Kluyveromyces lactis: one gene and its partner. The main gene of each other region encodes a partner of the protein of the gene in region 2 in a complex. Links are inferred from orthologs where the notes say so. Each region holds a gene or a part of one and is shown on either strand. Other genes may lie near its edges. The genes, in order: VPS75 and RTT109.

Evidence for each region.
Region 1: the proteins of RTT109 (region 2) and VPS75 are in contact, whole or in part, in an NMR structure (PDB 6O22), measured with the Saccharomyces cerevisiae proteins. The link is inferred for Kluyveromyces lactis from reciprocal best matches to the Saccharomyces cerevisiae genes RTT109 and VPS75. Residues at the interface, in NP_013099.1 of Saccharomyces cerevisiae: Ile25, Lys122, Lys124, Arg128, Tyr130, Leu137, Ile138, Ser139, Ala140, Pro144, Thr147, Leu148, Leu151, Arg154, Ile166, Leu175, Tyr176, Lys353, Ser354, Arg355, Lys356, Gln357, Ala360, Lys363, Tyr364, Glu368, Glu374, Glu378, Thr381, Asn382; in NP_014153.1 of Saccharomyces cerevisiae: Lys59, Ser63, Gln64, Val66, Ala69, Asn70, Ile72, Arg73, Ala74, Ser75, Phe77, Lys78, Ile80, Asp81, Lys170, Arg173, Lys177, Val213, Lys214, Tyr215, Tyr216, Ala217, Glu218, Gln220, Arg221, Asp222, Leu223, Glu224, Asp225, Glu226.

What each region holds. Positions count from the first base shown.
Region 1 is NC_006039.1:272,877-275,852, reverse strand, and holds VPS75 (Vps75p), read right to left. Parts: upstream 1,529-2,976; coding exon 1,506-1,528; intron 1,414-1,505; coding exon 606-1,413; downstream 1-605. Other genes in the region: U2-type spliceosomal complex subunit CWC25, read left to right, coding at 1-531; CRS1 (cysteine--tRNA ligase), read right to left, coding at 1,760-2,976. UniProt on the Saccharomyces cerevisiae protein: Histone chaperone which acts as a cofactor stimulating histone H3 acetylation by RTT109. Preferentially stimulates histone H3 'Lys-9' acetylation by RTT109. May also stimulate histone H3 'Lys-56' acetylation by RTT109. Assembles nucleosomes (in vitro).
Region 2 is NC_006042.1:1,189,419-1,192,846, forward strand, and holds RTT109 (H3 histone acetyltransferase RTT109), read right to left. Parts: upstream 2,095-3,428; coding exon 802-2,094; downstream 1-801. Other genes in the region: dynamin-related GTPase DNM1, read right to left, coding at 1-435; PRE3 (proteasome core particle subunit beta 1), read right to left, coding at 2,421-3,003, 3,108-3,172. UniProt on the Saccharomyces cerevisiae protein: Histone chaperone-dependent acetylase that modifies 'Lys-9', 'Lys-14', 'Lys-23', 'Lys-27', and 'Lys-56' on histone H3 (H3K9Ac, H3K14Ac and H3K23Ac, H3K27Ac, and H3K56Ac) to promote nucleosome assembly, genomic stability, DNA repair and transcriptional regulation during mitotic S-phase.

The DNA of each region.
Region 1 (2,976 bases), on a different chromosome or scaffold from region 2:
GAGAATAAAAAGATAAAGGAAAGACAGAAAGAAATAGAAAAAGAACGTGAGCTTGATCGATACAGCAGCTTGATTAGGGATGAAGACCAGAAAAATGTTAAGAGGAAAACAGGGTTAGAGTGGATGTATGACAACACATCCACAGCTTTGACAGAAAATGTAGACTACCTCCTTGGTAAAAAGGAAATAACAGACACATTACTCGACTTATCAGGGAACAACAATAAAAGTGAGAAATCTGAAAACCAAAAACAAACCATCAGAAAACATTACCAAGGAATTGAAGATGTTATATGTTCAAAAACAAACCATAAAAACGTTGACTTAAGTAGTGACGATCCAATGGCGAAGTTCAAAGCAGCTAAACAAGCCCATTTGAAAACATTGAAACAAAATATCCAGCCCACTTCACATGAATATCCTGTACACAAACCCTTACGTGGCGCAAATTCAAAAAGGTACGACAGTGGCAATGGGAGTAGATCAAATTACAAAAACTCTAGGTACAACAACAAATACTACAGAAGTTAGCACGGCAACAACCATGAATAAACGAATGGTACATTAATAATGAAGTGTACGAAAGGAATTATCATTGAACGAGTTCATTGCAATTTCGTCTTCTTATTTAAATGTTTGGAATCGGAACCTTCCTCATCGTTAACTTCTTCTAAATCAAGATCTAATGGAGCGTCGCTATCATCTTCACTATCACCGTCAGATTCATCCATGACATCACGTTGAGCTTCGGTGTAATACTTTACACAGTATGGATATAGTTCTTCGTTAAAAAGATTGGCTAATGCATCACCATTAGGAAATTCCTTCCCTGGTTTTAATCCAGTCCATTTAAACCATGCGAAAAAGGTCTTCATACCGGTTCTATAGTTCTTTTTACCCTCTGGAGTCGACTTATCTGATATCAGTTCAGGATTTATATTATCATATGATTTAGGCCAATCGATGTTAACAGGTTCACTAGTCAAAAAACCTAGGTCAGCGTCCAATTCATCGTCTTCTGCAGTTCTGTTTTTCTTAATCAGAATTTTAGATACATCTTTTTCAATTTTAAACACCTTACTCACATGTTGAGCCTTCAAGTCTCCCTTTATCTCATTGAATTCGATAGTGATTTGAAAATCCCTCGCGGTGCATTCCTCATCTTCAAGTGCCAATGGCTTGACAACTATTTTCTTTATAGCTTCAATGTACTTAAAATCTGATGCTCTAACGTAATTTGAAAAATCTGAATGTTGAGTTAAAGCGATATTCCAAAAGAACGGAATCTTCTCGATTAACTTATCTCTTTTATCAAAAACAGGAGCCATAAGTTTAATCTTATACAACTCGGCCTCGTTTTCAGCTAGTGCCATTTCGTCCTCACACTCCGCTAAACCTCTGAAAGCATTTCCACTGAACACGAGCAAAAGAAAGGATCAATTTCAAATGTTAGTATTAAAACAGCAGTGAACACAAAATCTAAATTGATTTATCTTAGTACATACCATACTGAGTTTGCAATGCACATAATTGTTGTTTGGTTGCTTGGCGTTATAGCTTATAATATATAGTAGTCAATCATCCCAATAAAGAAATAAAATATGCTAATTGTAAGATACTTAAGAATTCGTTAACAAAAAGAAAAAAATTTAAGATCTTCATTTGCATAAACTCAATACAACTGCACAATTCAAAAATAAACACAAAGAGATATATCTATAAAATTAAATAATTAGTAAAAGCAACACATTTAGCTTCACTACTGGAAAAACTCTTCATGGAGTTTCTTTTGAGCCAACCATTGTTTTTTTAACTTTTTATTCATTGATTTAGTAACTTCGTTACCATCTTTATCTTTAGTTGGAATTCCATCTTCATCCCATTCGGAATATAGGTCATTCTTAAACATATCTTGAGGGGAAATTTTTGCCTTCTCAAGTCTCTCCTGCTTTTTAGCCTCCTGAAGTCTTAATTGCTCAAGCTTTTTTGACTGTTTTTCAGCTTCTTTTTGAAGTTTTTCCTCATTGATTTTCATGATTTCATCTTTCTCTTTATCAGTCAAAAATTTGACAAGAGATGCTTGACCTTGTCTGTCATCTACTGCAACATTTAGTGCGACTAATTCTTCATCTCTAAGTCTATCCGTAGCTTGTAAAAACTGCGATGAAGGTGCTTTATTCATTGCCAATTGACGAACTTCATCTCTGAAATAAGAGAGGCATCTGACATAAGGTAGAGCGATGTCTTCCTTTGAAACGTCGGGGGAAGAATCAGAAGATGAATCGTCCAACCAACCTAAGCCATCAGAACGTAATTGAAATCCGATGACACCGAGAATCTTACTTATATATCTGGTAATTGCCAATAGCGGTTCAATTTTTAGTTCAGAGCTAATGTTCGCAATGTAACTGTTAGATTTAGTCAAAAGTTCATTAAGATGTTTCAATACCTGTGGTGTAGATAGGTTATCACAAAAGGAAGCATGAACTTTTTCCTGAGTTGATTTCAAAACGTTGAGTAAAGCCTTCTCTTCATTTGACAATTTTTTGCTAACAATCTTTCCTAAACCCAAGGAATGCTTGTAGTCATTATTCAAAGCCCTTATATTTTTGAAGAAATTAGTAAATGAAGATTCAAGAGATTTCACTTCGTTTAATAACGAATCCTTGAAATCTAATTGATTGTTCCATTGCACAGAAGCAAATGCAAGTCTTAACTGACGAGCGCTGTATTTGTTTAGAGCTTCTTCAATGGTAATAAAATTCTTCAATGATTTTGACATTTTTTGCCCTTCAATATGTAAATGACCTGTATGAAGGAAGTAATTAATCCACTGATGGTTATCATAGCAGGCTTCGGATTGTGCCAATTCATTATCGTGATGAGGGAAAGCTAGATCAATACCGCCTGTGTGGATATCTATTACAGAACCATGTATATCACTGGCCATAACAGAACATTCGATGTGCCAGCCGG
Region 2 (3,428 bases):
CCTTCTAATTTCAGAAAAGTCGTAGAATCTACGACCTGGAATATGTAAAAACTCACCCCATTCATTCTTTATTTCAGGCTTATAGTTTGAATTCTTTCTCAAATGATCTTCCAAGGTCATTTCCTTCTCCGTGCGGGCATCTGGCTCGTCATTAACCTGTTCAAGTGACGTAGATGAAGAATTGTCATAATTATAAACCAATGGAGAATTCGGATCAATATTATTCAACTGAAGAACTAGAGGACGTCTGGTAACAATACCAGTACCACGAGGTAAGAAATCTCTCCCGACCAACGTTTCCAAGATCGAAGACTTACCAGAAGATTGCGATCCAATAACAGCTAAAACCGGTAGATCCAAACTGTCAATGCCTGCATCGTACATAACATCCTGTAGCTTATTCACCGTAGGAATCAAATCTTCTAGACTTGACATCTTCAGAGTTACTTGTGTACTATACTCCGACCTAATTAACCGTTCTAATAGACTAGTTTAAGGTTAACAGGATCGCATCTAATATCTAACCAATCAAAGATACACTCAAACGCAATATTTAACCATTTCATTGGATCAAATTTCAAATAATTATTCTCAATGCAATAGGTATTTTTTATTATTTATTTATTTATTTTTATTTTTATTTTTATTTTTATTTTTATTTTTATTTGATTTAATTTGTTACATTTTTATTCTCTGTTTGATTTCTGCTGAAAATTGACTTCCAATATAGAGATCCGCTGTGATGTACGCGCAAATTGTCCTGAATCCATTATGTAGTATATATATATCAGCACCGTCACACTACGATTTAGGTTTCCTATGGACACTTAGAGTGTTTATTACGTTAATAGTGTTTATTTCAGGCCGTTTTGTAGTAGCGATCTTGTGGTGGTTTCCAATAACTTTTATCATCTTCGTGGAGTAATGCATGTCAAAAATATCTCGAATGTTCATGTATGCTTCTTCAGCACCTTCTTCAGTGTCATATTCTTCTCCAGTTATGTAGTTCTTCAGATTTTTAAAGTTCTTCTTCGAGGTTGGTATAATTATATCAGTCCGTTCTGGTTCATTGCAACGGCCGATGTATTTTCCTGACACTCCAATGACAGACACAGTTGATCCCAGTCTGAACTCTTGCCTTGCTTGCAATTCTGTCCAGAATGTTAACACATTGACTTTAGAAATTCGTCCATCACTGATCAGATGGTCAAGGAATCTGCCCTTGGGGTCATCAGGGAATAATGGTATCCTGTATAATGCAATGTCTTGCGGACTTTCAGAGAAAATGTCTCCTACGGTCCAATTTTGATATGCTGTGTTTCTCAAATAGTTGGAAATTACTCTTTTCTCTTCTCCCGGTATTTGTAAGGTTGCCTTTGTTTTATTATCGAAATCTTCGACAACTATTTGGTCTACAATCTTTAACCACCATTTGAGCAATTTGTCACCACTTAGGACGTGTTTCCTTGGGTTTTTAGATGAGTTTGAAAACAAATACTGCGGCTCTGCCCTGGTAAAAAGACTTACCTTTGTGACAATTTCCGTCGGAACCGGGAATGAAACGTATAAATCTTGGTCTGGGATTTTAACCCTTGAAGTTATCCCCTTCGAATCCAACGGTCTGTTGGATAATATTTCTAACGCTCTCTGTACTGATGTACTTCTCTTTATAATCTTTGCACCGCTCAGTGCTTTCCTTATCAGCGGTTTTACCGCCCGCAAATAATGTCCTGGACTAATTGCCAGAATATATGCAATTATTGACTTAGTTATCTGACCAATGTCAAGTCTTAGATCGCAATATCCGTTTGTATCTGCTTTGGAGACGAACAAGAGCCTTTCTACGGGACCATTATTGGCAGAATTCAAACTGAAATAAACAACAATTTCAAGAGCAAAAACAACCTTCTCTTCAAAGCATAATGCGACGAAATGTTGTGTCTTGATGGTCTTCACCGTTTTTCCATTAACGTCTTCAGCTTCGCGTTTTGGAAAAGTTATTGGCGAGGTTTCTCGTGGAATTGACTGGAGATTAATGATTTCGAACTCATGACCGAACGGAAGTGCATCTTTAATGTAACATTCTAAGGACATACTACTATATCATAATATCTGCTGGGCTTTTCTATCAATTAACAATTCAAGTTCATTTCTATATTTTTGCATAGCTAAGAGTGTATTAATGATCCGTTGTACTTTTTTATAATGCCTTTCTGATAATCTTAACTACTGAGAAAGTTTACCAATAATGGAAAGCCGAAGGCAGAATACCTCTCAGGACCGAACGCCCCTTAAGATTGGTCTTGATGATAAGGAAACCGAGGTTTCTCAGATTTATTCTTCTTATATACCAATTTTATTCTTTAAACTAATATACTTTTGCTTACAGAAGACGGGTTAAGACCGCTTTATCGTCTAATCTACAGGTTTTCATACTCATCGGGATACACAATTAAACGTTCCACACCTTCAGCAGTAAGGACAACCATTCTAATGACACCACCAGATGAACCATCCCATTTGATGGCTTGTGATAGAGAATGTTTTACAAATTCGATTGTTTCTTCTTTAGTCATATCTTCCTTATAGTTCTTGTCACAGTAACCATATATGAAAGCAGAACCAGAACCAGCAATTGAGTACGACTGCTTGTGCACAGAACCACCAAGAGGTATACTATACACCTCTCCTTTGTTTTTTTCATCGTAGCCCGCCACTATAATACCTGCTGTGAGATGATCCTTGTTCTCGTAACATAATGTCTTGAAGATCGATGCAGCAACCTTGGTTGTAGGTTCTCCATATTGTGAGGTGTACAATTCTAGATGGTACTGTACAATATCGGCAACAGCCTGAGTGTCTGCTGCTGAACCTGACCTACAACACCAGATTTTATCATGAACCTTTGTTAGTTTATCTGTGACACGGTTGGCAATATACGCACCAGTAGTTGTTCTGGAATCTGCCCCTAAGATCACACCATCTTTGAAAGTCACGGCCATACTGTTAACATTAATTAAGTTTAGTTAGTATTCACTGATATCATTAAAACCGATTGATTCGATTGTGGGAAAGAGGAATCTTAACGTTCCCTTATTGATACATACATTGAAGTACCTAGACTCACTTCGCCCTTTTTCAAGCGGTTCATATCAACTTGAATTCCATCCATTTTCGATTATATTTGGGAATGATTTGATACAGTTGCTCACTGATGATACTCAATCCTGTGAATATCGTCTTTTAGGCGGTTGCATTCCTTCAATGTTGTATCTTTCTGTCAAAGGTTTGCCACCCGCCAAAAGATTCAGTTATTCCTTAATATTTTGGCATTATCAACATAGCCGGGTAACAGAATAATGATAATAATACAAATACAAACTGAGAATGTACTTAGCTACATAACCGGCTTTGATGCAAGTAGAACC